7 linked regions of the Macaca fascicularis genome follow. The protein of the gene in region 3 purifies or fractionates together with the protein of the main gene of each other region. This does not show direct contact. Links are inferred from orthologs where the notes say so. Each region holds a gene or a part of one and is shown on either strand. Other genes may lie near its edges.

Region 1 (4,049 bases), on a different chromosome or scaffold from region 3:
CCTGATCTCAGAAGCCATTGCCACTGATATTAATGGACTGCAGATCCGCCACCTGCATGACGTTGATGCCACTGTTGGCAAGACGGGCAATGCCCTCTGGACAGATGGCCTCCATGGCTACCATATTGGTGGTAATAAGGGCTGAAGGAGTGGCAGTGCCGCTGCCTTCTGAACCTGCCCCACTGTCCAGGGGCAAAGTGCCCACACTCAGAGCTACACCTGGGCCTCCCTTCTTATTCTGGTGGGTCTTGATATGTTTTGACAGGTGGTCACTCCTCATGAAGCGCTTAGGACACTCAGGGCAGGCAAATTTCTTCTCACCTAGGTAAAGGAAGGAAAGATAAGAAGCTGACATGTTAGGAAGTGAGGTTATCTTACCCAGTTCAGTAATTACTCTACTAAGCTGAGTAAGACCAGTATGAGAAGATGATTAAAAACAAGAAAAATCTTCAAGTATCTTTTCCTTTGGTGGGGGCGTGGGGAAGAAAAGTAGATAAAGGTTGGGGAGTACTCAGTAAGGAGGGTAGAACTTAGCAGAAAAGTAAGGCAGGGCAGAGACTAAGAGTAATGGTTTCAACGCTTTGCCTTCAAAACATCCCACTCAAAATCTAGTTCCTTCCTTTTTTTTTTTTTTGAGACAGTCTTGCTCTGTCGCCTAGGCTGGAGTGCAGTGGCACAATCTCAGCTCACTGTAACCTCCACCTCCTGGGTTCAAGCAATTCTCCTCCCTCAGCCTCCCGAGTAGCTGTGATTACGGGTGTGCGCCAGCACGCTTGACTTTTGTAATTTTAGTAGAGACAAGGTTTCCCCATATTGGTCAGGCTGGTCTCAAACTCCTGACCTCAAGAAATCCAACCACCTCGGCCTCCCAAAGTGCTGGGATTACAGGCGTGAGCCACCGCACCCAACTCCTTCCTTTTTTTTTTTTTTTGAGACGGAGTCTCACTCTGTCGCCCAGGCTGGAGTGCAGTGGCACAATCTTGGCTCACTGCAAGCTCCGCCTCCCAGGTTCCTGCCATTCTCCTGCCTCAGCCTCCCGAGTAGCTGGGACTACAGGAGCCTGCCACCATGCCCGGCTAATTTTTTTGTATTTTTAGAGATGGGGTTTCACCGTGTTAGCCAGGATGGTCTTGATCTCCTGACCTCATGATCCGCCCACCTTGGGCTCCCAAAGTGCTGGGATTACAGGTGTGAGCCACTGTGCGCAGCTCCTCCTTCCTTCTTAAAAGGTTTCCAGATTAACTCCAATTCCATTTGTGACCCATATATTTAGTTTCAAATTAAGTTGTTCAGAAATTTTAGTTATTTTGTAGGTATATTTTGTGTTTTTCATTCTAGGCTATTACTCTATTTTTCTCCCATAGGCTCTTGCTCACCTGTGTGTGTACGTTTGTGCCTCTGTAGCTCATCTGAACGTGTGAAGCGTTTCCCACAGTATGACCAGGTACACATAAATGGCCTCTCGCCTGTATGCCAGCGCAAGTGTGCCCGCAGGTGTGAAGTCTTGCCATACACTTTCCCACAGCCTTGGATGTGGCAAATATGTTGTTTCTTTTTGCCAGGATCCCCCGAGCCCCTGAAAGTGAGGATACAACTATTTATCATTCATTCTAGAGACAGAAACTAAAGAACCACAAAGTATCAACAACAGTCACCCAACCTACACCAAACTAACCCAAACTTTTATTTTTTGAAAAAGCCTTCTTTTTTGTTTTGTTTTTTTGAGACAGAGTCTCACTCTGTCGTCCAGGCTGGAGTACAACGGCATGATCACGGCTCACACCTCCTAGGTTCAAATGATTCTCCTGCCTCAGCCTCCCGAGTAGCTAGGATGCACGCCACTATGTCCAGTGCACCAACAGGTGCACGCCACCATGTCCAGTTGAATTGTGTATTTTTAGTACAGATGAGGTTTCGCCATGTTGGCCAGGCTGGTCTCGAATCCCTAACCTCAGGTGATGGATCTGCCTGCCTCCACCTCCCAAAGTGCTGGGATTACAGGCGTGAGCCACCGCGATGGACCAAGGCTTCCTTTTAAAAAGCCTTCTAGGGGCTGGGCGCGGTGGCTCACGCCTGTAATCCCAGCACTTTGGGAGGCGGAGGCAGGCGGATCACAGGGTCAGGAGATTGAAACCATCCTGGCTAACACGGTGAAACCCTGTCTCTACTAAAAATACAAAAAAAATTAGCCAGGCGTGGTGGCGGGCACCTGTAGTCCCTGCTACTCGGGAGGCTGAGACAGGAGAATGGCGTGAACCTGGGAGGCAGAGCTTGCAGTGAGCCGAGACTGCGCCACTGCATTCCAGCCTGGGCGACAGAGCGAGACTCAGTCTCAAAAAAAATTAAATTAAATTAAATTTTTAAAAAGGCTTCTAGGCTGGGTGCAGTGGCTAACGCCTGTAATCCCAACAATTTGTGGGGCTAAGGCAGGAGGACTGCTTAAGCCCAGGAGTTTGAGACCAGCCTGGGCAACACAGGGAAATCCCATCTCTATAAAAAATTTAAAAGTTAAGCTGGGCACAGTGGCTCACAACTGTAATCTCAGCACTTTGGGAGGCCAAGGAGGGTGCATCACAAGGTCAAGAGATTGAGACCACCCTGGCCAACGTGGTGAAACCCCATTTCTACTAAAAACACAAAAATTAGCTGGACATGGTGGTGCATGCCTGTAGTCCTAGCTACTCAGGAGGCTGAGGCAGAAGAATCACTTGAACCCGGGAGGCAGAGGTTGCAGTGAACCAAGATCGCACACCACTGCACTCCAGCCTGGCCACAGAGCAAGACTCTGTCTCAAAAAAAAAAAAACAAAAAAACAAAAAACAAACAAACAAAAAAACCCAAGGCCAGGCACGGTGGGTCATGCTTGTAATCCCAGCACTTTGGGAGCCCAAGGTGGGCAGATCACCTGAGGTCAGGAGTTCACTGACCAACCTGGTGAAACCCCATCTCTACTAAAAATACAAAATTAGCCAGGTGTGGATTACATGCTTGTAATCCCAGTGACTTGGGAGGCTAAAGCAGGGGGAATTGCTTAAACCCGGGAGGCAGAGGTTGCAGTAAGCCGAGATGGCGCCACTGCACTCCAGCCTGGGAGACAGAGTAAGACTCGGTCTCAAAAAAAAAAAAAAAAAAATTAACCTTCTTCCTCTTTCCTCCAAATCCTATTATTTTTTCTTCATATTTGTAAGAAACTTGCTGGGTCAACTCACCTTCCTTCACTGTCTTTACAGTAGGGGCAGGTGCATGCTTCCCGCCGGGTCCTCCGACCGGCTTGGGGTTGGGCATCTGGGCTGTTTTCTCCTTCCTCTCCACCTGCTGTGTCATCATGTATTCCATCACCACCAGCCCCATGGAGACCAAGCTGAGCTCCATGATCACCTATAATTAAGAGAGAAAAGAGTCAACATGTGACACGGGCAGGTTATCACTGGCATCTCAGTGATACCCTACAGTCACGGCATCATTTCTTTTGAACTGACATCCTACGTTCACAGTATCACAAGTTTTGAAGCCTTTTTAAAATGTTCAGCCATTCCATTCACTGACACCTGAAGACTCACTGAAATCTCAAGAATCATCATTGAAAATACAAAGAGTGGGCCGGGCGCGGTGGCTCAAGCCTGTAATCCCAGCACTTTGGGAGGCCGAGACGGGCGGACCACGAGGTCAGGAGATCGAGACCATCCTGGCTGACACGGTGAAACCCCGTCTCTACTAAAAAATACAAAAAACTAGCCGGGCGCAGTGGCGGGTGCCTGTAGTCCCAGCTACTCGGGAGGCTGAGGCAGGAGAATGGTGTAAACCCGGGAGGCGGAGCTTGCAGTGAGCTGAGATCCGGCCACTGCACTCCAGCCTGGGTGACAGAGCGAGACTCCGTCTCAAAAAAAAAAAAAAAAAAAAAAAGATAATACAAAGAGTGACTGGGCACAGTGGCTCACACCTGTAATTCCATCACTTTGGGAGGCCGAGGTGGGCAGATCACCTAAGGTCGGGAGTTCAGGACCAGCCTGACCAACATGGAGAAATCCCGTCTCTACTAAAAATACAAA
Region 2 (4,660 bases), on a different chromosome or scaffold from region 3:
CCTACAGCAGCTGGTATGTGTCTCTATCACAACTCTTGTCACCAGGCTGTGTATTTAGCTGGTGATATGAGTCCCCCAGCCCAGGCTGCAAGCACCTCAGCGCAGAGGCCATGTCTTACTTGTGTCTGTCTCCTCAGTTTCTAGCTGTGTCTGGCATTTGGTTTCCTAAGTGAGCAGCCTTTGGACTGGTGTGCCTGCTGGGGATGGCTGCCAGGGCACAAACAGGTATCTAGGCACAACCCTCTCTCGCCACCAACCTGGTAAAGGTTATTTTGAATGTCCAGGACCTCCTGGGGCAGCAAAGCCAGGCAACAGAGCAGCACCGCTGGGGCCTCGTGAATCACTGCCAGGTGGACCAGCCTAGGGGAGCAGAGGCGGGGCTCAGCGTTAGGGCCCAGGCCAGAGGGAGTGGGTTGGGGTCTTGGGGTTAGAAGGAACACATCAAACTTTAACTAGCTACCCATAGGGTAGGTTCAGGAAGTGAGAGTGTGGGCCAGGAAGTGAGGGTTGGTGTGGGAAGCCAGGATCCTAGGGGTTGGAGCTCCAAGTTCCCACTGCTGGCCTTCAGGAGGGCCTTGGCTGGATGGGCATGTGGGCAGGGTGCTGACAGGACAAGGGCCTTCCTGTCCAGCCTGCCCACACCCACTCCTCTTTGCCCTCAGGGCTCTGCCCGGCCAGCTGCAGCTCAAAGCCAAATTGAAAGCTGCCGAAGTAGTCCAGAGGGGGTTTCCAGGCCGAGCACCCCACTACCTCAGCTCACAGGAAAGGAGACAGATGCAGGGTCACCCCATACCCCCAAGCAACTCAATGTTAACACATTCCAAGGGAGAGACACAGAAACTCTTGGAAGAGGAGCAAGGAGACAGTGCAGCATCCTGTCCTGCTGCCCTTCCCTGGGAGTCAAGAGACACCTCTCAGATAGCACAGACCAGGTCGGGCCTAACAGAGGCCATCCATTCCTGTGTGCACCTCCAAGAGGAGGTCTTTGTAGTGCAGAAAATGTATTTGTTGAGGGGGCCAAGAACCTTAATCTAGGGGTAATGGGGGCAGTTGGGAGGGGAAGTTCCAGTCTCGGGGTTTCCCCACGTCAGGTGGGGAAAATGAAAGCCAGTGCTGGAGGGTCTAGGCCGGGACAGCTGCCTTGGGGCATGAGTGAGGGGGGTAGCTTGGCTAAAAGGCCCGTCTGGACTGGGGAGGGGACTGCTTGGGCAGGAGGGCGGCAGGCTTCGGCGGCAGGCAGCAGGAGAGGCCCAGGAGAGTGACGGAGGGAGGGAGGAACTGCTCTGGAAATCCCCTCGGCCAGGGCCTGCTCTCTGGGTCACATTCTTGCAGCCACCTCCCTCTCTTCCCCAGTATCCCCTCCTCCCACTTCCTCTTCCCACTTCCATACCTCCCACAGCCCAGACACCTCCAACGGAGGGAGGAAAGTGCCCCTCCTCTCTGGGGACTCGCTGGGAAGCCCGGACACTTCTCCCCTCCACACACACACCCAGTCTGGACACAACACCTGCTTCTAACTAGAGATGGAAAAGGCTGGGGCTGAGAGGCTAACAAAAGACGGCAGTGTCAAAAGTTCCCTCTCCTTGGATCAAAGGTCATCAGAGGTATCTTGCATGCAGCCCCCAAAACCTTGGGGTTCTGGACCTGAGGGCTGGTGATCCAGGCAGAGTACAGAAAGGACTGGGTCACTCCTCTCCCACCCACTGTGTGCACCAGCTATCTTTATCAATGGCCACCCAGGATTGGGACCCTGCATCTCCAAAAAGCAGGTTAGGACAGCCACCTCCTGCCTCCCCTACTCCTATTTATATGAGCACCCTTGATCAGGGATTCTAGCCCTCCCCAACTCTATTTCTCATCCCCAGATCCCAACCTTTCCCTCCTGTGTCAATGTTTTCTTCTTCCTGGGGGGCTAAATCCTCAGTTGGCCAACCCATCACACACAACTGCCTTTTACTTCAACTGCCCTCTGGCCCACTCCCACAAAACTCCACCTGGGTCTGAAGGAGGAAGGGTTAAGTGAGGGAGTAAGACACAACAGTTAGTGGGACTTGGGGTCTCTGGAGGTAGAGGATATCAGGGACGCTGACTCTAGCCCTCACTTCCCCTTTCTTAGCAGAGGAGGAAGTAAGCTGGGGCAGCCAGCCGCCTATCTGTCTGCTGGGGCAAGAGTGCCCCAGCCTGGCTCACCCCCTCCTCCTGAGGACCAGCCCCAATCCTACACCCTGGTGGCACCCCCACGCCTAGCTTCCTGGCCCCTACTGGCAACCTGTAACTGGCACCTGTTGCTCCTGGAGACAGAGCATTCTGAGGTCAGGAACTGGGAATCCCAGATATTGAGCAAATAAGGATGTCCCCTTCCCCAGCAAGAAGAAACAAAAAAACTGGACTCGGTCAGGGGAATTTTCTCTTCCTAAGGGTGGATTATTGGTAGATTTCCAAGATGCTGGCTGGGGTCCCTGAGTTAAGGGTCCTGCCAGCTCTGCCCACCCCGAAATGGGAGAACAGAGATGATGCCATGGCCTGGCTGGACCTCAAAAGTTGGCTGAGAGTTAAGTCTGGAGTTTGGAACAGTGAATGGGGACTTGAAGGATCCTCACGGGGGAGTAGGGGTGCCCGGCCTGTTGCGGCTCTTGGGCAGGCCCAGAGTTAGCATCCCGCCTAGCCCCCATACTCACGTGTCTCCGTCCTCGGAGATGTAAGTGAGTGCTTCCAGCTGCTGAGGGCTCAGCGCCCCCACGTGGGGGAGTGGCGGGCGTGGGGCCGGGTCCTCAGCCTCGGGACCCCCCAGCAAGGACAGGCTCTCGGTGAGCGAGGAGGAGCCATAGGTGGAATCAGCCCGCTCCCCATCCGCGTCTTCCTTCTGCTGTGGTTCCTTGGCGGGCCCCGGAGGGTGGGTGCAGGGCTGGGGGCTGCCGTCCGAGGGCCCGGAGGCGGGAGCCGAGGTCGGCTCGGGTAGGGAGCGCAGAGAGCGCAGAGACTCAATGCCAGAGTCGTACTGGCTCTCGTCCGCCTCGTCCGGCCCCTTCCGCGCCTCCGACATGCCCGCGGCGCTGGCCCGCGGGGGCCCGGTCTAAGCAGGATCCGGCTACGGGCTCTGCCGCGCCGCCTTTCCGGGTTGCGGGTCCGCTTGGCAGAGCGGGCGCCAGGCCCGCGGCGGCCTCCTTCCCGGGCTGTGGGGCTCCGAGAGGCCGGCGCACAGCGAGGACAAGGTTCGGAGCGCTGGCCGGGTCCACCCAGCGGTTACTGTGGGCAGCCGAACCGCCCAAGCGGGTCCTCCTCCTCGCCCCGCCCCTCCGGACCAACAGGGTCGCTGCAAGCCGGGTGGCCCCGCCCCCTCCCCGCCCCCGGCGGGCGCTTCCGGAAAGAGGCCCCGCCCCTCCGGAATCCCCCTTCCCGGGCTCTGCGTAGGCTTGGAGTCTGTGGTTCCCGGGCCTTGACTCACTCCTTCGTTGATTCATTCACTCATTCATTCATTCACCGTTTCCCCCTTCCTCCTTCACTCATTAGTTCCACGCATGTACTGTTTCCTTCTGTCACTTCTATTTCTTAATTCATTTGTTTTATTTTTATTTTTTATTTTTTCGAGACTAAGTCTTGATCTGTTGCCCAGGCTGGAGTGCAGTGATGCGATCTCGGCTCACTGCAACCTCCGCCTCCTGGGTTCAAGCGGTTCTCCTGCCTCAGCCTCCCGGGTAACTGGGACTACAAGTAGAGACGGGGGTCTTGCCACGTTGCCCAGGCTGGTCCCGAACTCCTGGGTTCAAGCAATCTGCCTGCCTCGGACTCCCAAAGTGCTGGGATTACAGGCTGCGAGCCACTAGGCCCGGACCATTCATTTGTTTTAAAAGAAATATCTATTAACTGTCTGTACAAGCTGGCATCTTTGAGGGAGGGCATGTAGGTGATGGGTTGCGGAAGCACTGCTTCCTAACCCTTGCCCATTTATCTCAATTTCTCTTGCTTTCTCATCTTTCCCTATCAGTGCCCAGGAATATTGGTAGGGAAAGGGGACTCCCATTATCTTTAAAGGAGCAGTTCTTCTGGGTCCTCGAAGACAGTCTGCTGTGTCAACGTCCTACATCACATGGAATTGGGCATGAAAAATTTTTTTGGAAAGAGCGTCTTCTCATGGAGACTGTTGTCTAAAAAGCAAAGTGGTTATGGGGTTTCTTCTTCCTCAAAGGGTGAAATCTTGGCCTTGGGTAGTTACAGTTTCTGGTCAACCCCAGCAGTCAAGGAAGTGGGGTCAGACTGGGGAGGCCCCAGATATGCTGGTTGCACTCTGCTCAGGTCCCTAACACAGCCCCAATCTTAGTACGAAAACCGCTGTCCCTAGGCTTAGGAAGGCCGTGGGAGAACCCCACTACAAGTGAGCCCTAAGCCCATGCCCCATGATTTATTCCCTTGTTCCTCCCCACTACTCCAAGTGCTATCAGCCTAGCGCCAGCAATGCCCTTACAGGGTTATCCCCAAGGAAACATGTAGCTTTTCCATCTCCAGCATTGGGGAAAGGAAGGTGGATGAGTGTAGATAGCAACATTTTGCAGGGGAGAGGCCAGTTTTCCCACTGCCCTTCCCCTGCAACCTCATTTTATTCATCCATCATGCACCCACTTGTTAAACATGTATGGAAGGTCTCCTGTAATGTCTGACTTTG
Region 3 (4,582 bases):
TAATATAACAATCCCACTACTGTAGACAATTCACATTGTAAACAGAAAACCAAGAGACCAACCAAATAAAACAAACTTCCTACTAAAAGTAAAAAAGCTAATGAGAAATTTTGCATAGCCATTCATTCATAGACATCCATTCCTGTTAATGTGATTTCTGATCAATCTGTGGACTAGAAGCGCATAATCTGAGTATTTACTCTATTGGTTATACAACAGTACTGTGCATTTCCAGATACACTTCCTACTGCAGTCAATTCTATGCTCAGAAGAGCACATCTATTAAGACCTGAAGATGAAAAAGATGACATTTTTGAGTACTTCATGAAAAATCCATACAGCAACTCAGACACAATTATTTTATTGTTTGAAAATATCGACTACTTTTCTTACTTCTCCCAAGTTCAAACCAATTGAAGGTTATGAAGTAATCACTTCCCCTCAGAAGCCAGAACTTTCACCTCTTCTGAAGAGAGAAATACCTCTCATAAATTAGGTAAAAATAAGGTCTTGCTGATGGAATGATAGTCCAACATTCATGTAGCTGCCAATTCCCTATCTAGACCTCGTATCTACCACAATGAGCAATCCCTGAAAGTCAAGGTAGTAACTTACTTAATCAATTATCTGCAAGTCTAAAAGTGTAGCTAAAACAACCTACATAAATAATTAGTTTCTCACACTACTTCAATTTGTTTCCAGGAACAGTAACAACAGAAATGTAAGGAATATGATCACTAAATCTAAAATTCTTCCTATTTCAAGATTAATTGTGCTTTAATCAACTCAGTCATCACAGATCTTGTTTAAGAGGTAGAGTAAAAAGGAAGTGCAAAGATCAAAGCAATGCTTACAAAGGGGAAGGACTATTTTTGTATGTATACCCCAGTATTTACTATCTGGGTTTGAAAAACAGGGGCATTTACTCAGCACAAGTGAGTGCCAACGACGAACGTAAGAATGAAATTTCAGAAAAAAAGATAAAAGATTTTCAAATCACCACCAACCCCAAAACGATTATACTATTTTCCTTAAAAAGTGTCAAAGAGTTTAGAAGTGGTTTGCTTTTCACTGCAAGCAGCTTTTCGGTTCCAGTATTAAATGTACATAAAACGTGTGTTCCTTTGTGTTCAAGTTTGTCCAGTAGGTTGCAGACCAGGAAGACATTTTATCTAAACAAGCAGGGGAGGGCATTTAGGAATTGCAGGTGTATCAATATGGATGAATAATCTCAGATTCCAAGTCTCCATTCATCGTATATGTTCTTTTCATTTCAGCAATTCAATTAAATCATGAACGTAAAATTCTACAGGAAATAAATCTTTTCATTTCCTGTCTTCCCAAGTTTATAAACTGAAAAAAGTACACTGCTTCAAATTTAAATACATACATTTAAACACATAATTCCCATAGTGCCTCAAGCAGTAAAAGGATTCATCTCTAGAAAGCACAAAATTAAAATCAGAAAAACAACATACTTCAATTTTAAGTTTCCCTTTTAAAGTTTTAACAAACACGAATGCAGTTTAAACTGCTTGACAATATTCAGTTGTGGGATTCTGCTAGAAGAAAATTATTGAACATCTTGACCCTAACCTTTAGTATTTACTAAAGATCACCAGTGTGTAGAATATTTTGATGCCAGAGTTATTAAATGTTCTAGTAATACCATAAGCATTTTTTCAGATTATAAGCTTTATAACAAAATCTTTGAGTTAAATATGGTTATTTCATAAACTGTAATGCTGAAAACCTCTACTTAACAAAGTCCATGAAAATGTCTCAAATCTTGATAATTAAATCCTGTATCATTAAGTCCCATTTCAGTTTCAGGATAGACCAGTAAGTCAGGGCAAACATTCCCTGGTGTCTGTTTTTAAGGACCATAGAAAAACTTACATTTAGGATAGGCTTTGTTTTTACATTGTTTTTGTTTCAGAAGTCATGCATAATACATGGTGGCACTGTCCAAGAATTTTACATAATCAAGTCTAAAAAGTGCTCTAAGTATCCAACTAGGTAATTTATTTTCTCTCTCAAATGCCAGGCCCCAGAGGATCAGAATCAAGTCCTATAGCAGGTGACTATATCGTGTGTGTGTGTGTGTGTGTGTGTGTGTGTGTGTGTGTGTGTGTACGGAGGGGTGGGGGGAGGGAGAGAAAAAGAGACAGAGAGAGGGCCAGGCTTCTTTTAGAAGTAGGAGAGGGATGAATAGACTCTCCTATTCAATTCTGGGGAGCTGGAGAGGGCTTTCCCTGCCAGGAGGACTGACAAGCACTTCTTCTTTCATTTCATGGAACGCCCTTAGGTGAAATCTGGTTCTGCACTGCACCAACCACCTTCCCTCTCTCCTCCGCGCCGCAGCGCACCTCAACCTTCTCACTATCCCCCAGCTGGGGCTGGGGTTGGGGGATTTTAAAAGTTTGTAAGAGTTCCCCTCCGATTCGCATTCCCACCCCGCGGAGGGACGTGAAGAGAAATGAGCGCCGGGCAGCCACGGCCCTTCGGCCGACTAGCCCCTGCGAGGTCCGGATGTGCCTTACCCCGCTGTCGCCAATCCCATGTGCCTCTCACTACTGTCAACCTCCTCCCACGGTCTAGCCCAGCGGTTAGCGCAGGAATGAGGAAGTCCGAGTGGGGCTGGAGGGGGTGCGGAGAGCTGGATGGCGGGACTCGAGCCACGCGTCCCCTGCCGGGCCCCCACTCGCCCGAGTTTGGCTTACCCTGGTGGCGAGTCCGCGTTCGGCCTCCTGGCGCAGGTCTCTCCCTCCTGGGCGGCGCGGGCCTGCGGGCTGGAGAGGGAAGAGGCGGTGGCCGGCCGGAGCCCGAGCGGGCCCGGGTGCGGGTCGGGGCGAGCGGTAGCGCGGCGGGGCCGGGCCAGGCCAGTCAGCGCCGCGCCATGTCCGCAGCGCGGGCGGAGGGAAGCGCAGGGCGCGCGGTGGCCGGGCGGCGGCGCCGCCTTACTGGCCGGGCGGCTGCGGCCTCGGCGGCGCTGGGCTCCGGGAGCGGGGCCGGCGGCTGCGTGCAGGCCGAGGGCGGCGGCGGCTGGCGGCCCGACCGACGGGAAGGGCAGGGGAAGCTGTCAGCGCGTCGCCGGGCCGCTCCGGTGGCGAAACCTCCTCTTCCTGCCCCGGCTAGCTGGTGCACTTCTCTCTCTTTCTCTCTCGCTCACTCTCTCACTTCCTGGCTGGAAATTCCCACTGACGTCGAGAGAGCATACAGACAGACGGACACACGCGCGCACGCAGCGGGGGCGGGAGGTGGGGTCGCTGCCGGGGGTGGGGGAAGCCCGCACTTTTGGGGGCCGTGCGCCCCCGGCCCGGCCTCGTTGCTCGGTTGGGCTCCCGCCCCTCGGGGCCGCTTCGGGGCGCCGGGCGAGGGGCGCGCGTTAGGCGGCCTGGACGCCGGGATCCCCGGCGTGACTCTGGCTTCCTAGCCGGGCGCTCCCAAATCCCGAGGGCTGGAGCCGGTAGGGACGCCCCCAGGAAGCGCCAGCCGGGCCCAGTGGTCCGGGAACACAGGCGGCGCGGAGGCGGCGGCGGTGCCGCTGATAGAGTCATGCGGTCCATAGCCCCTAAGGGCAGGCCCGAGCAGCTGGAGGGTCGGCATGGATCCAAGCATGCCAGATATAAAAATAAAGCTCATCTGTATATTCCATTTAAATGTGTCTCGGTTACATTCAGATCTCTTCACAGATTAAACTAGAATTTCGTTATCATAACCGACTTGTGTCCAGTAAAGTATAACCCTCTACTGGTTTTTGGTGCGGTCTTAAATATCCTCGTTATAGGGCAGTTACTCAATATTCATCTACAAGGCATTGTTAGGCCTTTATGATAATTACTGTGGATAGAATTATAGTGATGGTGGTAGCAATGGTTTTGGTTTACAGCTCATAAAATACTGATCTGGCAGAGGGGAGTTTTCTTTTTCTCTGAAGAGACCGCTACTGGCACCCATTGACAGGCCTGCCAGTGACCACCGTTCACTGGCATCTGAGCTGCTTTAGTGCTGGGCGCTGTACTAGGCACAGGCTGGGGATACCTTGGGTTGCATTACCTCCCCACATAAGAAATCTTGAGCTGAAACATATATTTTAGAGCTCATTGTTTCACTAGTGGGTCGAGTGACAACTGAAAGCTTAGCTTTAAAATATCGGTAATCAGGTCCTTACCAGGCAATAGTGCAGTGGCATTCAGATTCCTTATAGCATGTTCATCCTAGTCGTTTTGTGCCCACTCTCCGTCCTCCTCCTCCACTAGGTTATAAAAACCTTCTTGGTGGAGTGTTTTTCTGGCAAAAACAAAAAACAAAACAAAACAAACAAAAAAACCACACATACGCGCACAACCAAAAGTAAAAACAGAGATTCATTTGATTGCCTATGACAGGAGCCTCTGGGGCGACCTTGGAGGCACCCAACAGTTGACCTTTAAGCGATCTCATTTAGCTCCTGGAGGCTGAGCAGGTGGAATTCAGAGGATCCATAAAGACTGAACACAACGACTTTTTAAGAAATTTTGTGGGCCGAGTGCGGTGGCTCACGCCTGTCATCCCAGCACTTTGGGATGCCGAGGCAGGT
Region 4 (4,521 bases), on a different chromosome or scaffold from region 3:
ACAGAATTCACTCTACATATTGGCCAAAGGGAGACAATTTCTGGATACTGAGCAACACACGATTTATGATCTTTCACGAAAACCGATGGATGGGCCCGCGGTGGCTCACACCTGCAAGCCCAGCACTTTGGACGGCTGAGGTGGGCAGATTGCCTAAGCTCAGGAGTTCAAGACCAGCCTGGGCAACATGGTGAAATCCCATCTCTATTAAAATACAAAAAAATATATATATATTAGCCAGGTAGGGAGGCACGTGCCTGTAGTCCCAGCTACTCGGGAGGCTGAGGCAGGAGAACTGCTTGAACCCGGGAGGCAGTGAGCCGAGATCGTGCCACTGCACTCCAGCCTGGCGACAGAGAGAGACTGTCTGATAACAAGATGTGTTTATGTTTGTGGCCTGGGATTTGGCTTATTTAGCTTTTCATAAATGTTCTCTGTTCTCAGGTCATGACCCTTTGCCCAATGGTTTCACTGCGGAGAATTTATAGATGTGACTGAAAAAATATAAACTACAAATAAATTCACTGGATAACCTATTTTTTTAAAGTCATTTACTTAAGAAATTAATATGGAACCCAGAGTCTAGCAGTCGGTCAGTTTTGTTTTCTGATTCTGCAACCTGTGGCATATGGTTTTCTTGGCACGTGTGACCTTGGCATTTTGCCTATATTTACACAGACTGACAGGAGTTTAAGGCTGGAAGGAGCATTTATTTTATGTGAGGTAAAAGGTCATGTCAGGCTTGCTTGAACCTGTGTGTACATGTGGTTAATTCCCAGTCACTTCCACGTATATCCACACACTGGCAAGGGCCAGTGAGCATGAAGCAGCAGCAAGCCCTCTCAGAAGTAGCACTTGACCTCTGTTCTACAAAGAGTGCTAACAAACAAGTGGAAATTGTGATCCTATCATTATCTAGTTTTTCATCCCATCCTTCCCTATATGAAAGGAAAAGCTCTTGAAATAGTCCATTCTGGCAGGGTGCAGTGGCTCACGCCTGTAATCCCAGCACTGGCATGGTCAGCCCCAGGCCAAAGTGGGCAGATCACTTGAGGTCAGGAGTTCAAGACCATCCTAGGCACCATGGAGAAATCCCCTCTCTACCAAAAACAAAAATTAGCGGGGAGTGTTGTCCCAGCTATTTAGGAAGCTGAGGCACAAGAATCGCTTGAACAGGGGAGGCAGAGGCTCACCGGGAGGCAGAGGTTGCAGTGAGCCAAGATCACTCCACTGCACTCCAGCCTGGGTGACAGAGTGAGACTATGTCTCAAAAAAAATAATAATAATAATAATCAATTTTGTTTGGCAAATTCAATACCATTCCCTTGAGAAAACTGGATCCCACAATCAGAACTAAAAATCATCACTACAGTCAAGCTTTTAAAAAAGGAAAAGAACTACTTAACCAGATGCAAAGGTATACATGACAAAACAAAACAAAAATTTTTAATGGTGTTACTATTCAGTGTTAGGAAATGAGCTACAAATCTCACATCCTAAAAACTCTTCAAGTCTTTCTGAAAAATACCATGTCATTCCTTCAATAATTAGTTATTTCGCCTCCTTTGATCACCATGTATTTAACTAGGTGTACTAGGTGCTTGAGAAACAAAAATAGGACACTTCACCTGTCTTTGATAAGGTCCACAGAAATAACGCCAATGCAGGCTGAAAGCTAAAATCCTTGTCACTCTCAAAAGCCAAGGACCTATCACTTGCACCCTAGAACTCCAAAAGGTTCACAGAGTCGAGGTGAGGGCGCCCAGGTCACTGCTCAGGTGCTAGAGTTAACAGGCGACTAAATGCACGTATAAACAGCAGTCTGAGAAGGAAACTCAGACGGAAAAAGTGTTGTCAACTGTCACCTACATCTTCCCAACCCCGCCCCCCAATCCTTTTTATAAATAAATGGAGGGTTTCTGAAGGGAACTGTCCAAGGTTACCTCCTGATACTGTGGAATGCTCTGGTTTGGGATACCCATGAAATTGTTTATCTATTCATTGAATACTGCCACACAACATCTAAAAGTTGACAAAGTGTCAACCAAGGCACATAGAATATAAAATAAGACCTCTTTCTCAACAAGATTAAAACGCCAAGAAGAAACTGACCGAAAGAGGGAGATCTCTAACTTCCCAAAGCAAGGCAACCCCCTGGAAAGGTACTGGAACCAGCGGAAGTTACATATCCAGGAGAGAAGTGTCCCCCTCCCCAGGGGTAAAACTTTGAACCGCCATCTGACTATCCCACGGTGGTCGGAAACTTCCCTCAACAACAAGAAGCAACCAGACACCCAACAATCTCCGCCCTTGGCTAACCCCATGTGTCCTCAGGCCAGGCTGTCGCTTCCTCCCCGGGCCCTGCCTCCTCCATCTCGCTCCCTTCCCAGGACACTCAGTAGCCGGCCTCGGCTTCCAAAGCCGGCCTGGGTCCCGGGGTACCTGGAGGCCGCCGGGCTCGGTCCCGGGGGGACATCGGCCTCAGGCCAGCTCTCCAGGAGGCCCGTCGCGCCTCTAGTCCCCGACCGGGCCGCGACCCCCGCCCCGACCGCCCCCGGGGACGGATCCCGCGGCCCCCGCCCTGCCGCCGGCCTCACCTCCTCGGCGTGCTTGCGCAGCGCCTTCTCCCGCTCGTACTGGGTGATGAGCTGCTCGTTGTCGTCCCGCAGCAGCTCCAGCTCCACCTGGTGCTCCTGGTCCTGCGCGAACACCGAGTCCAGGTTCTCCAGTACAGCCACCACCAGCGGCATCAGCTCCTTGACCACCTCCTCGTCGTAACGCCCGATGAGCCGCTCGAACTCGCGGTAGATGGAGCCGGCCAGGCCGGACACCCGCTCCGACATCACGGCCCCGGAGCCGCCGGGTTCCTCCTGATACACCACACCGTCCTCCAGCTCCATGGTGGCAAGCGGGCGGGCGGGCGGGCGGCCCGGGGCGTCGCCGGCTGAGGGGCGGCACCGGCCCGCACGGGACTGGCCCGGCTTGGGCTGGGACGGGGACTAGGGCTGGAGCCCGGGCCGGGGCTGGGGCTGGGCCCGGCGGGGTGGGGGTCGGGGCCGGAGGAGGGGAGGGGTGGCGTGTGCGCTCTCACCCCAACCGCCGCTGCACCAACTGCCGGGGCGGCCGGGCCGCGCGCGCCACACGTCATCCGCGGGGCGGGGCTGGCGACGCGTCGGCCCGATGGGCGGGGCGCCGCGGGAGGCCAGGCGCGGCCGGGGGCGGGGCCATGCGTCTTCGGGCGCCGGCGGAGGAAGCCGTGGCGTCAACACCCGGCGCCGCGAGGATGATGCGGGCGCCAATGGGAAAGACTGCGGTCGGAGGGTGGGAAAGTGTCCATCACGGCGGGATTCGCGGGGCGGGTCCCAGGGGAAAGGGAGGGGTTCGGGAAGAGTGACGAGTTAACGTAGCTGGTATTTCTATGGATTTTTAAAGCTCACAAAGCACCTTCTCACTTCATCCCCACAACGGGCGTAAAGCGGCAGATGTTTGGACCTCGTTTCACAGACAAAGAAACTAGGCCCGGAAAAGTGGCGGTGCTCTCAAGGTCACGCCCCTGGAACGGGAAACGGGCTGAGCCGGGACTCAAACCAGTTCTCCAGATTGAGAATTCCGGGCTCCGAAAAAAATGGGAAACAGAAAGGGAGGGGAAAAAACCATAACCAGGGTCTACCTAAGTGGAAAGGTGGTCTCGACTAGAATAAGGCTGTTTTGTGCTATGGAAGAGCAAGGGTGAGATGAGGGGAAATTGGAGTTACTGCTAATAGGTATGGGATTTCCTTTTGGGATAATGAAAGTGTTCTAAAAATTGATTATAGTGATGTATACATAACTCTAAATATGCTAAAAGACATTCAACTTTACACGTTAAGCGAGTGAATCATATGGCGTGTGAATTATATCTCAAGTTATTAAAAAATAAACAGGAAGGGTGATAGCATTCTGGAGAAGGGTGAAACTGAAAAGTTACATGTTGCACTTTCCCAAATAGTGTGTCTGCTACTTCTGGCCAACTTGGGACGGGGACATTTCCAGGCTCCAGCCACCCTCCTTTCCTCAAGTCTCGAAGTGGGGCGGAAAGGGTAAGTGGGAGGTTGGGGAGCAGAGGAGGAAAGGGGTGGAGTCACTGGAGTGAATAAGTCCCATGACAAGTGAGACTTCTGCCGCCTGGCAGAGCGTCACGTGTGGGGAATGGCACAACGCCCACGCCAGAGCGGGCTGAGTCAAGATCGCTTCCCGGTGTGCTCACCTGACGTCCGCAAATGGGACGGAAGACACTCTCAAAAGTCCCTTCTCCCCGCCTTAGGTGACTCATTTCTCCGTCCCGACTCGTTTAAGAAAAGGGGGAGGAAAGGCAGGATAAACATAGATTTAGGGGGAGAACTGGCTACCCACCGGGATCATAACTACCCTTAGCTTGGGGTTTACAAGTTCAAGTACTTCCCACCAAGTATGAAGTAGTTCCCTAAAGTTTCCAACGCATGACCCACCTGGAGACCCACAAAAACAATATGAAGGTTGGGC
Region 5 (4,049 bases), on a different chromosome or scaffold from region 3:
TACAACCATAGAAAGAAACTACCTAGCTCTTTTATGTTTACTAAGTAGTAAAAATGTAGTAACCAATTCAACTGTGACATGGTTGCAAAAGGAGATTAACCTGATGAACAAACATTTCAACTGGTACCAAAGGAATTTTCATACTTGTGTAAAGGTGGACAATACCAACATGCCCAAAGAGTTTGATGGAATGATGTAAACTTTCTGTGGTTCCAAAACACCGGGTGATAGGTTACCTTTTGGAGCTTTCAGACTGGAGGATATACAAAGAGTTAATCAAACTAGCATATTGTTTTCACAGAAATTTTTCTAAAAAGGATTTAGAGACTTTTATAGCCAGAAACAATTAGGGAATACTTGTTTCACTATTTCCTTTAAACCAGAAGACGGCTGTATATTTAAAATAAAATTGCAATATGAAAGTCTGCTAAAAGCACTTTTTTTGTTGTTTGTGCATTTTGTTTGTCACCCAATGTCACACTAACAATTCTGCATCTCATTCCAAAGCACATTATACTTAGAGATAAAATGAAAAAGACCATTTTTTGTTTCCCCAAGGGGAAAGTACTTCTGTTAAAAGCATCTTTTTATGAGACTATTCTTTCTGAATTACCAATAATGCAAACCAAAGAATTAGATACTGTACTCTGAAATTTAATATTTGTTCAATTCTTATTCATATCCTATAGTCATCCCATGTGTACAAGGGAAAAGTATGATAAATGCTTAAACGTACTTAAGAACCTGAAAGATTGAACATTTTTGTCCTTCAATCAGCAGGCTGTCAGGTCATGAGTACTCATTTTACAATAAAAGTTTTCCTGCCTTTCCTATTATTCTAACTAAGCTCAGTTAAAAAGAAATAGATTGGCCCACAAAGAAAATGGCCACACTTTTTGTTTTCATGAACCTGATTGTATATACAACTTTATCTTTATTAAAGGTAGACAATCTGATTTCAAACATTATATATAAAATCAAGAACTAAAGAGTTTTTTTAAGAACTTGAAAATAATGAACTGCTTAGAACTACATTCGTAAGTTTGAATATCAGGATCAGAGATGAAATAAGAAATGAAATTAACGAAATTCGGATGAAAGAAATCCATCATGTTTTGTTTTTTTAAATGCTTACACATAATACTTCATGGCGACTTAAAACAATTCCGTTTTCTCATAATACTCAGGAATAAGTATGCTTTTCCAAAGAATCCAATTAGATGTGCGTGCAAACTGTCATACTGGGAACCATTACAAACCAGTAAAAAGCACAATCTAACCTTGAACATTTTTTTCCTTCTGATGTCCAACTAGCAATGGCCAGAAATAGTGAGTTCTGATAGGAAAACCTTCCTCCTTCACAGCCTTCATTAGGGCTTTTGCCAAATCTGAAAGAGATATCATAAAATATCACAAAGCTACCTCAGCAAAACTTCCTTACGTTGGCTTTAACTTTAAGAATGTAGTACCAGTTTTTTTGGCAAGTAAGGCACAATGGAGGGTGAACTGCAGAGGAAAGGAGTGCATCTGGATTTCCTTTAACTTCTTACAGTAGTCTGTTAGCTTCTCCACAGGCTGTGGGAAAAAAGTCACCACATTAGCTGGATTGGCAAACATCTTACCATTTGAACTGCTGCAAATATTCTATCACTTCTTGAGATGAGCAGTTTAAATCCCGCACTTTTTCTACCCAAAAATCTTGCAACACAAGAACAAGGTTGTTATAATGTTCACAACTGGTCTAATCTCATAAATATTCCTATATTTTAAAGAATCTTATTTCACTGCCAATTATATTGTCTACAAAGTAAAAGTGGACAGAATACCGTATTCATAGTCACACAGTGTCGTAAAAAGAAACTGCCAAAGTCACTTATGCCATCTTCCTTTGATATAGGGCATGCTAGTAAAATTTGCAAAGCTACATCTTCCAATTTTTCAGTGACTAAAAGTAAAATGAGGTTCATTGCATCTGGGAAGAAAACAAAGACATCTTTTGTTAGTAAACTGAACAATGTTTTTACACTGCAACCAATGTTCCGATACTAAAGACAAAATAAGAATTGCAAACATCAAAAGCATATATCTGCCTAAATAACAATAAAACACTTGCAAATCAAATCATCCCCATGTATTCATTAACTCATGTTTTTGGGCTTATTTAACTGACTTTAAGAGTTCTATGTTCAACTCCCACAATGCCCATTGTTAGAAAATGTCCTTTCCATCATATAAGAACAGCAATTCAGATTTTTATAAAAATCATGTAAATAGATTTTTTAAAAACTACCTGGAATATATCTTCTTTCACATGTAACTTTTTCCAAAATTTCTGAGACATACTGAGGATACCCAGCTTTACTGAAGCTAAAAATAATTTGGAATAAATCACGGTCCATAAGGTGAAGCTCGGACTTCTCGACCTTCTCCAGAGTCTATAGAGAGTTCCAGAAATTAGAAGACCAAGTTAGAGTGTTTTTATTTAAGTATTAAAGTTAAATAAATTAAAATATACAGATTCAAAACAGTAGGGAAAAACACCACCTAAAGCTTTAGGACTTCTTTTAAAACATAAGAAATACTCGGCCAGGTGCGGTGGTTCACGCCTGTAATCCCAGCACTTTGGAAGGCCGAGGAGGGTGGATCACGAAGTCAGGAGATGGGGACCACGGTGAAACCCTGCCTCTACTAAAAATACAACAAATTGGCCAGGCCTGGTGGCGGGTGCCTGGAGTCCCAGCTACTCGGAGAGGCTGAGGCAGAAGAATGGCGTGAACCTGTGAGGCGGAGCTTGCAGTGAGCCGAGATTGCGCCACTGCACTCCAGCCTGGGTGACAGAGCAAGACTCCATCTCAAAAAAAAATAAAAATAAAAATACATAAAAAGAAAATACTCTACTTCAACAATAACTGTTATATTATCAGCACCAAGATACTGAACTATAATAATTCTCCATAAATACTACTCTCTGCAAGGAAACATCTTTGAAAACAGGTATAAACTACACTTTGCTGCCTCATATAAAACATAACACAAGTTTTTACAAATGATTTTAAAGTATGTTTATTTAGACATAAGTCATACCTGCTTAACATGGTCAATGTCGCCCTTCTCAGCATATGCATTCAATAATGCGAGGTATGTGTCTGGACCAGGCTCAATTCCAGCCTCTCTCATCACTGTGAGAATGTTTTCTGCATTCTGCATATCACTACAAGTTAATCCAAAAAACAGATTACTTGCCAAATGTAATATAGTTATTCAAACTAAAACATACGCTTATTAAAATCAAAAATGCTAAGTATCATTTGGAATTATGATGTCAGAAAACAAATGTATATTAAACTGGATATATGTTTCTCAAATAAAGATCATAAACATCTGATCCCTCATTAAGAAAAATAATAATTACGCAGACATTAAATAACATATACCCTCTTACATTATACAGGTTACGACTCAGACTTAACTTACAAGGTAAGAATAACGTTTAGTAAATTACTCTTCAAAAATAAAAATATTGTGGCTCAAGCCTGTAATCCCAGCACTTTGGGAGGCCGAGACGGGCGGATCACGAGGTCAGGAGATCGAGACCATCCTGGTTAACACGGTGAAACCCCATCTCTACTAAAAAATACAAAAAACTAGCTGGCCGAGGTGGCGGATGCCTGTAGTCCCAGCTACTCGGGAGGCGGAGGCAGGAGAATGGCGTGAACCCAGGAGGCGGAGCTTGCAGTGAGCTGAGATCCGGCCACTGCACTCCAGCCTGGGTGACAGCGCGAGACTCCGTCTCAAAAAAAAAAAAATAAAATAAAATAAAAAAAAATAAAAATAAATAAAAATAAAAATATTTTCCAGAGCAGTTACTTCAGATCAAGCCCAGTTTCTTTTTTCTTTTCTTTTCTTTTTTTTTGAGATGGAGTCTTGCTCTGTCTCCCAGGCTGGAGTGCAATGGCACGATCTCGGCCCACTGCAATCTCTGCCTCCTGGGTTCAAACAATTCTCCTGCCTCAGAATCCCGAGTAGCTGGGATTACAGGCACCTGCCAT
Region 6 (3,979 bases), on a different chromosome or scaffold from region 3:
CTGAGGCAATAACCAGGAAATGATGATGATTAACATCTGGGATTCAGAGTGAAGTGACTATCGGTTATGTAAGCAATCTTTTCAAAAAGCAAGAAGCCATCTTTTCTATCACAATTCAACCGGTTAAAATAGTTTAACTCTGCAATTCCATGAAGCCTATAATTCTTTATTCTGGTTTGTCTTAGCAGATAACAGCTCCCACTAATGACAACCAGTTTTTTTAAAAAAAAGACTGCAATAGCAGATTCAATGCATTGCTGGGAACAGTTAGAAGTGCTCTGTAACAAAAGCAAAGGATTTCTCCCTCACATATAATCTGTTTTAGGCTATACTTTTTTTTTTTTAACTAGCTTGATTTTTAAGTCATCTGGCTATAATTTGAGTCCTCCAAAGTTGACAAACCTTGATCGGTAGATGTATGCTTTAAAATGCCCCACTTCACGTGAAGTTTCAAAGCTTATTTAAACTCAAATTTAAAACAGTAAAGATACTGTAGTTCATGTGGAAAGCTCTTTAAGATTTGAATTGTTTTGAGATTGACATCTCTGCTTCAGCTGTGAGAGGGGACAAGGAAGGACTATCCCTACTATTGACAGAGGCAGACCAAAGAGAATCTCTCACCACTGCCCTCAAAGCTCCACCAAACTAATTTGGTGTTTCAAGTTCCCTGATATGACCTGCAGTCTGAGTGCTAGACCTTTGTCGGTGCTGTCCTCTGGAACATCTCCCCATCTCCTCATCCAGGAAGCAGCAGAGGTGAAGAGTTCCTCCCCCTCAACACATGGGCACTTCACCTCTGTCATATACTTGTCCTATCTGTTGACTCATTCATCCCCTCATTAGCCTCTAAGGACATTAAGCATCTTTAACCCTAGGCCTAGAACACTGTTAATAGCCCCAAATCACCACAGAATAAAATTTTCTTGCAAACCCTAGTTTATTATTAAGCCTAAATTACTCCAAGGTACTTCTGGGTTAGCTACATACCCCTCTTATAGCACAAAATCTACACTAAAATATTTTATATTTGGCTCATGATTAGCTCCCAGGGCTCTGGTAAACCAAACAACTTCCACCTCTAAAGTTACATACCTGGAAGATGGAGCATGTACTGACCACCCAAAATCTGCAATTTTAAGCTCTCCAGCTGATCCAAGAAGTAAGTTCTCTGGCTTAATGTCTCTATGAATAACTCTCTTCGAATGACAGTAAGACAAGGCATTTGCCAATTCTGTTATATACTGTTAAAAAAATATTGAAAGCCTGTGTTTTAGATTTTGTATAACACAAGTTAATATTAGACATCTCTTCTGAAAGGAACACAACATAGATTTAACATGGTTTGCAGGTTTTGGCCAGACACAGTGGCTCCCACCTGTAATCCCAGCACTTTGGGGGACTGAGGTGGGAGGATCACTCAAGCCCAGGAATTCAAAGCCAGCCTGGGAAACATAGCAAGACTCCATCTCTGCAAAAAAAATTTAAAAATTAGCCAAGCATGATGGTGTATGCCTGTAGTCCCAGCTACTTGGGAAGCTGAGGCGGGAGGATCGCTTGAGCCCAGGAGGTCAAAGCTGCAGTAAGCCATGATCACACTTCAGCCTGGGTGACAGAGTGAGACCCTGTCTCAAAAAGGAAAAGACAAAACAAAAAACACATATTGCAGGTTTTGAAGCAAGCATCGTAGAAATTATACATGAGTCTACACACACACAAACACACACACACACACACACACACACACACACACAGAATCAACTGAACCAATTTATAGTGGTTAGCATGAAGTGAAATTACCCAATGTTTAGTTATCGCTTTGCTAATACAGTTGGTGTGATGTTGAAAGACGGAAAAGACATTCAGCTAGTTAGAGCTAGCTCTTAGGTTGGTGCCATTTCAATGCAAAACACAGTTACTTCTGCACCAGCCTAACAGTTACACCCCCATACGGCAACAAACGGCCCTGCGGCAAGGAAGTAAGGCAGTGCCGAAGACCTGGTACAAATTAAGGATTCAGGTGTGTAAATACTGCCTTTTTCTTTTTTAGAAAAATAAAATTAACTTTTCAAGTATAGTCAATTCCTTTTTTTAAAACCAAGATCATTCTGTGACAGAATAATTTGTTTAAAGCTAAAAATTTACTTCAAGAATATCAGGAGAAAGAAATTATCCTGAACAATAAACAGAAACTAAAAAGCAGTTGCACTGACATATTAAATAGCATGTTAAATTTTGGGTTACACTAAGTCAGCATAGAAGTACATAAGAAATCAGTCCTTTTGTTAATTTTATTTCCTTAAGTTACTATCTTTTTTTTTTTTAATAGAGATGGGGGTCTCGCTATGTTGACCAGGCTAGTCTCAAACTCCTGACCTCAAGTGATCCTCCCATCTCAGCCTCACAAAGTGCTAGGATTACAGACATGAGCCACCGCACCCTGCCAAGTTACTATCTTGTAAGAAAAGTTTGCCTGGCTGGGCACCTGTAATCCCAGCACTCTGGGAAGCCAAGGCAGGGGGATCACCTGAAGTCAGGAGTTCGAGACCAGCCTGACCAACATGGTGAAACCCTTTCTCTACCAAAAATACAAAAATTAGCCGAGCGTGGTGGTGCATGCCTATAATCCCAGCTACTCAGGAGGCTGAGGCAGGAGAATTGGTTGAACCCGGGAGGTAGAGGTTGCAGTGAGCCGAGATCACGTCATTGCACTCCAGCCTGGGCAACAAGAATGAAATTCCATCTCAAAAAAAAAGCAAGAAAAAAGAAAAGTTTTCCAGTCCCTATCTCTAAGATTTAGCCAACAAATCTAGTATGTATGTATGTATGTATGTTATTTACTTATTTATTTTTAAGAGACAGGGTCTCACTCTGTCACCCACCCTGGATTGCTACGGCATGATCAGACCTCACTGCAGCCTTGAACTCCTGGGCTTAAGCAATCCTCCTACCGAGTAGTTGGGACTACAGGTGTGTGCCACCATGCCCAGCTAATTTTTAATGTTTCTTTCTTTTTTTTTTTTTTTTTTTTTTGTAGAGACAGAGTCTCCCCATGTTGCCCAGGCTGGTCGCTAATTCCTGACTTCAGGTAATCCTCCCATCTTGGCCTCTCCAAGTGCTGAGATTACCAGTGTGAGCTACCATGCCTGGCCCAGAATTTATTTTATCATACAGGTAACTGTTTGAATATTGAAAAAATATATTTAGCTCTGCCTAAAGTTTGAGTTTCCTTTCTAAAGCAATTGCTAGACAGGATTGAACATTATTTTACATCAAAAAGGTTTACTAAACAGATAAGTAAACACCAAGTGTCACTGGCAGAAAAAACACTTTTCATTCTTTCAGTCCAAAGCCAGAGATCAAAATTCAGACCACGATAAACTGAAGTCAAATACAAGAAAGCTGCTCTTCTGACTACACCGACTTTGAGTTGCTGATGCTTTAATTGCACACATTAAAGTTCAAGAGGCAATGGACTTCACTCCTCCAGTCATTTCCAGACAAGAAGCTATTAGTTTCGCCATGGCTCTCTGGCACTGCTACTCCCTCCACACCTCACATGTTGTTAGACTGCAGGTATGGATAGGTCACTGACGTGTCACTACAATTAGTTTTATTTGAATTCATCTGAAAAGGAAAACAGGTACATGCGTATTCATTCTAACTGCAAAGGAATCTAGACAGAAATAATCTTTCATTTTCTTTCAAATAGCTATCTGCTCACACCAAAACTCCATCTAGATTGAAGCCTTGGGTGTGAGGAGAGAAAACAGAGAAGTAGTATCATGTGTAATTTTATACTGTTGAGATAAGGTGAATCTTTTAAAGTAGGATATCAATATCAGAAACTGAAGAAAAAGATTAACTGACCCAAAACAACAAACTCCAACCCACCGTAAGCAAGATGACAAGGAAAAAACCCAAGGGTAAAATGTGATCACCTGAGGCAGTCACTACCATGAATGAGCACAGATTTCCTTAT
Region 7 (4,049 bases), on a different chromosome or scaffold from region 3:
TCAATCCAGCTGGCACATTTCCATCTCCCTTGCATTGATGCCTTAGCTCTCATGGGGCCATTGCCATCCCCTTGCCAGACCCAATCTTCCCTGGCCTTCTGTAGCAGCAGGATCATCGTTGCCTAGGTTTGCACCCAGGCCCGCCCCTTAAACTCTTGCTTACATCTTCTCCTAAGCTCCTTGGGTTTTAGGGCACATCAGAGAGCTGGTGTGAAGCCCAGGTGCTCCGACCGCACTCCAAGACACACAGGTGCTGTGGGTCTGGGCTGGAACCTGAGGCCGCATTCTTGCCTGGGCTCCCTGACATGGACTCTGTGGAAACCACATTGTGGGGAGCAGGGCCCTCAGCAGGTTTTGTCTGTTTCCTGTGACCTCTGTTCCACCAGTCACACTGCCCCCTGCCTTCCCACCACCTTCTCCTTTGCACTCCAGATCAAATTTCTGCCTGCCTGCTTACCATTGCCAGCTCTCTTGGGCCCTCCATGCATCTTGTACTCCACTTTTCAACACAGACTTCTGGTCACAGCACTCTCTTGCCTAAAACTTGCTTACGGGCTGAGGCAGGTGAATCACCTGAGGTCAGGAGTTCAAGATCAGCCTGGCCTACGTGGCAAAACCCTATCTCTACTAAAAATGCAAAAATTAGCTGGGTGTGGTATCACATACCTGTAGTCCCAGCTACTTGGGAGGCTGAGGCAAGATAATCCCTTGAACTTGGGAGGCGGAGGTTCCAGTGAGCCGAGATGGCGTCACTACACTCCAGCCTGGGCGACTCAATCTCAAAAAAAAAAAAAAGAACTTGCTTACAAATATGCTGACCAGAGTTCTGGCTGGGTTGCAGTAATACGCCCTCCAGACTGAGTGCGTCCCTCTTGCCTGCTGAGGACTCGATTGCCCTGCTTAAGCCACTGCTCGTGCTTCCTGAAATCCAGGTCTCAGTTGTGCTGTCATAGGCCTGGGGAGGCCTTTCCTGATCCCCAGGCCAGGACATGAGCCCAAGACCCCACTGGTGCACAACCCAGCAGCACCCCATGTGCCTCCTGCAGGAGAAGATGCTGGACATCTACTGGCTGCTGCGCGTCTGCCTGCAGACCATTGAGCACGGTGATCGCACAGGGTCTCTCTTTGCCTTCATGCCCGAGTTCTACCTGAGCGTGGCCATCAACAGCTACAGTGCTCTCAAGAATTACTTCGGTCCCGTGCACAGCATGGAGGAGCTCCCAGGTGATGGAACCATTCAGGCTGGGGCAGAAGCAGAAAAGGGGTCTCTAGTGTGAGCCCTAGGAGCCCTGGTCTGAGACCTCTGTGGCCCAGCAACACACATCCGTGGGGGGCAGGGAGGGGAGGAGCTTCCTCTGTGGTTCACCCTGCAGCAAACAAATGTTTGCACCCTGCCCTGGGACCTGCAGCCACAGATCCAACAGCTCCCTGGCAAAGGAAAACAGACAAGATGGAACACAGTGGGTGGAGACCCCTTGGCTTTCACTTCCTTCCTAGTGCTATGAGCAACTGCTGTGGTGCAGCAGCCAGCTGGCCCTGCACCCTGACTCCCTGGCACTGGTCACAAAGCGTGGCAGTTGGTCAGGGGCAGAATGGTTTGTCTTGGTAAATCACAGCAGGGGGTGGACCCTGCTACGGTCCACATCCGAACCTGGGCTTCTCGCAGCCCACTGATTCCAGGCTAAGCTGTACTGTGTATGTCTGGATCAGGCAGTGAGCTGTCATAGCCCCTAGCCCACACCCTGCCTAGCCCCAGGCCTCGGTGTAGGCTTTGTCTTCAAAGACAGAGCTGTAGGCCGGGCGCGGTGGCTCAAGCCTGTAATCCCAGCACTTTGGGAGGCCGAGACGGGCGGATCACGAGGTCAGGAGATCGAGACCATCCTGGCTAACCCGGTGAAACCCCGTCTCTACTAAAAAATACAAAAAAAAACTAGCCGGGCGAGGTGGCGGGCGCCTGTAGTCCCAGCTACTCGGGAGGCTGAGGCAGGAGAATGGTGCAAACCCGGGAGGCGGAGCTTGCAGTGAGCTGAGATCCGGCCACTGCACTCCAGCCCGGGCGACAGAGCGAGACTCCGTCTCAAAAAAATAAATAAATAAAAAATAAAAATAAAAAACAAAGACAGAGCTGTGGGTGCCCAAGGAGCTTTGACTGCTCATCAGGTGTGTGTGCTGAGATGGGTTTGAGCCCAGGTCAGGGCTCCTGCCAGGGCCTGTCATCCCCTCACAGTGAGCCTATGCCTTAGCCCCTCCACAGCCACCAATGAATGCCTTGCCTGATGTCCCCAGATGCCAGCCTGGGTCCAGGCTGGGCTTGGGAGCCAGCTCTAGAGCCTGCTACCCAAGCCCACCCAACCTGCTGACATGCCTGCCTCTGGAGCCCCCACTCCTAGCCAACACGTCTCAATTCCTACCCTTGCAGGCTATGAAGAGACACTGACCCGCCTGGCTGCCATTCTCGCCAAACACTTTGCTGACACACGCATCGTGGGCACTGGTGAGGGGCCCTACAGAGGGTACAGGGGGAAGGGGATGGGATGGCACCTCTGGTTGGCTTTCTTCTATGAAAAATGTGGCCAGGTGGGCATGAGACATGGGTCCAGGGCTCATGCCAAGCCCCTACTGAGGCACGGCGTCTCCCCGCAGACATCCGAGACTCGCTGATGCAGGCCCTGGCCAGCTACGTGTGCTACCCACACTCCCTGCGGGCTGTGGAGCGAATCCCTGAGGAGCAGTGAGTGGGGCCTGGGAGGCACACACCCTGGCCACAAGCACCGTGCCCAGCCTCACCCCATGTCTCTCCCCTCCTTGCCCTCACAGGCGTATCGCCATGGTGAGGAACCTCCTGGCACCCTATGAGCAGCGGCCCTGGGCCCAGACCAACTGGATCCTGGTGCGGCTCTGGAGGGTAAGCCTGACTCAAGGGGAGGTGGCTGAGACTGGCTGAAGGGAGAGGGTGCCCTGTCCCATTGACCTGAGCACCGACCCCCACCTCCACAGGGCTGTGGCTTCGGGTACCGCTATACACGGCTGCCACATCTGCTGAAAACCAAACTTGAGGATGCCAATTTGCCCAGCCTCCAGAGTGAGTATCTGGGTTGGTGGAGTCATGAGCAAGGCAGGCGGGGGTGTTTACCCCCTACCCATGGGTTCTTTCAGACTCTCCAGTTCTTCAGCCCCTCTCTGGTTCCCCCATTGGGTCCCAGACTCCCTACTTGTCCCCTGGGGTTTCCACTTTCCTTGCTTCCTTCCAGCCCAAGGATGCTCGGGCTGGGACTCCCCCTCCTCCACCTTGCCCACAGTCCTACATGTGTCCTTTGGGCCTGGACGCTCTACATGGGTCATGGTGAGAGGTGGCACCATCTTCCTGGCCTGCCGCAGCTCATGCAGACTGAATACTCTGTCCCTTGCCCTCAAAGCTAGCTCCCTGACCTCCAGCCTTGTCCCAGCACCATGTCCTTCTGCTTCTTTTTTGCTCTCTGCTGGTGCCAGACCCTGGCCTTGGCTTCGGCCTTGGACACCTGAGTCCAGTGGGAGCACAGATTGGAGGTTGGCCAGGTGCCCAGAGGGTATTCATGGGGGTTCCTGGAGGAAGGGACATTTAGTTGGGAGCAGAGGGCAAGTATCATGAGCCTGAGGATTTTACCCTAGGCCTGGCCCTTGCAGAGTGCCTACCACACACTGTCTTCACCCTTCGTGGTGGCTCTTCTTGGCTCATGTAGTCTGTTTCTGCCCTTGTGGGCAGTGTTTTGATCTGAAGGGTGTCCCCAGAGAGGCTGAGTGTCTTGTGCTAAGTCACACAGCAAGTCCTTGCCAGTTGCTGTGGTCCTGCCTCCAGGGTGGAACTGAGCTGCAAGTGGAGAGCAGCAGTGGGGCCAGGCCCGTCCTGCTGCTGCGGGAACTATTGATTTGCATCAAGCTGGTGGGGAGGTGCGCCGGGCCAGTTGCAGCTGAGGGCTCTGGTTACTGCTGCCTGCCAGCCCAGACTTGGCGCCTACCACCTTGGCCATATGCCAAGGCCAGGCCAAGGGCAGCAGAGGACAGTAGAGGAC

Evidence for each region.
Region 1: the proteins of NFKB1 (region 3) and SP1 purify together in Homo sapiens (affinity purification with western blotting, with the first as the bait; 3 studies listed by BioGRID). This does not show direct contact. The link is inferred for Macaca fascicularis from reciprocal best matches to the Homo sapiens genes NFKB1 and SP1.
Region 2: the proteins of NFKB1 (region 3) and NFKBIE purify together in Homo sapiens (affinity purification with mass spectrometry; 4 studies listed by BioGRID and IntAct, with this or other methods). This does not show direct contact. The link is inferred for Macaca fascicularis from reciprocal best matches to the Homo sapiens genes NFKB1 and NFKBIE.
Region 4: the proteins of NFKB1 (region 3) and SPAG9 purify together in Homo sapiens (affinity purification with mass spectrometry; 5 studies listed by BioGRID and IntAct, with this or other methods). This does not show direct contact. The link is inferred for Macaca fascicularis from reciprocal best matches to the Homo sapiens genes NFKB1 and SPAG9.
Region 5: the proteins of NFKB1 (region 3) and LRPPRC purify together in Homo sapiens (affinity purification with mass spectrometry; 3 studies listed by BioGRID and IntAct, with this or other methods). This does not show direct contact. The link is inferred for Macaca fascicularis from reciprocal best matches to the Homo sapiens genes NFKB1 and LRPPRC.
Region 6: the proteins of NFKB1 (region 3) and AURKA purify together in Homo sapiens (affinity purification with mass spectrometry; 4 studies listed by BioGRID and IntAct, counting the BioPlex papers as one, with this or other methods). This does not show direct contact. The link is inferred for Macaca fascicularis from reciprocal best matches to the Homo sapiens genes NFKB1 and AURKA.
Region 7: the proteins of NFKB1 (region 3) and RNF123 purify together in Homo sapiens (affinity purification with western blotting; 4 studies listed by BioGRID). This does not show direct contact. The link is inferred for Macaca fascicularis from reciprocal best matches to the Homo sapiens genes NFKB1 and RNF123.

Annotation. Positions count from the first base shown.
Region 1 is NC_088385.1:60,209,475-60,213,523, reverse strand, and holds part of SP1 (transcription factor Sp1), read right to left. Parts: intron 3,379-4,049; coding exon 3,210-3,378; intron 1,577-3,209; coding exon 1,377-1,576; intron 322-1,376; coding exon 8-321; 3' UTR 1-7. UniProt on the Homo sapiens protein: Transcription factor that can activate or repress transcription in response to physiological and pathological stimuli.
Region 2 is NC_088378.1:127,252,019-127,256,678, reverse strand, and holds the start of NFKBIE (NF-kappa-B inhibitor epsilon), read right to left. Parts: upstream 3,249-4,660; 5' UTR 3,044-3,248; coding exon 2,679-3,043; intron 361-2,678; coding exon 258-360; intron 1-257. UniProt on the Homo sapiens protein: Sequesters NF-kappa-B transcription factor complexes in the cytoplasm, thereby inhibiting their activity. Sequestered complexes include NFKB1-RELA (p50-p65) and NFKB1-REL (p50-c-Rel) complexes.
Region 3 is NC_088379.1:108,168,097-108,172,678, reverse strand, and holds the start of NFKB1 (nuclear factor NF-kappa-B p105 subunit), read right to left. Parts: upstream 3,179-4,582; 5' UTR 2,724-3,178; intron 1-2,723.
Region 4 is NC_088390.1:55,588,534-55,593,054, reverse strand, and holds the start of SPAG9 (C-Jun-amino-terminal kinase-interacting protein 4), read right to left. Parts: upstream 3,117-4,521; 5' UTR 2,901-3,116; coding exon 2,598-2,900; intron 1-2,597. UniProt on the Homo sapiens protein: The JNK-interacting protein (JIP) group of scaffold proteins selectively mediates JNK signaling by aggregating specific components of the MAPK cascade to form a functional JNK signaling module.
Region 5 is NC_088387.1:78,088,152-78,092,200, reverse strand, and holds part of LRPPRC (leucine-rich PPR motif-containing protein, mitochondrial), read right to left. Parts: intron 3,212-4,049; coding exon 3,085-3,211; intron 2,436-3,084; coding exon 2,291-2,435; intron 1,973-2,290; coding exon 1,827-1,972; intron 1,576-1,826; coding exon 1,470-1,575; intron 1,389-1,469; coding exon 1,281-1,388; intron 1-1,280. UniProt on the Homo sapiens protein: May play a role in RNA metabolism in both nuclei and mitochondria. In the nucleus binds to HNRPA1-associated poly(A) mRNAs and is part of nmRNP complexes at late stages of mRNA maturation which are possibly associated with nuclear mRNA export.
Region 6 is NC_088384.1:112,407,665-112,411,643, forward strand, and holds part of AURKA (aurora kinase A), read right to left. Parts: intron 1,242-3,979; coding exon 1,093-1,241; intron 1-1,092. UniProt on the Homo sapiens protein: Mitotic serine/threonine kinase that contributes to the regulation of cell cycle progression.
Region 7 is NC_088376.1:112,731,997-112,736,045, forward strand, and holds part of RNF123 (E3 ubiquitin-protein ligase RNF123), read left to right. Parts: intron 1-932; exon of another isoform or gene 933-1,046; coding exon 1,047-1,224; intron 1,225-2,419; coding exon 2,420-2,494; intron 2,495-2,643; coding exon 2,644-2,731; intron 2,732-2,817; coding exon 2,818-2,905; intron 2,906-2,997; coding exon 2,998-3,082; intron 3,083-4,049. UniProt on the Homo sapiens protein: Catalytic subunit of the KPC complex that acts as E3 ubiquitin-protein ligase. Promotes the ubiquitination and proteasome-mediated degradation of CDKN1B which is the cyclin-dependent kinase inhibitor at the G0-G1 transition of the cell cycle.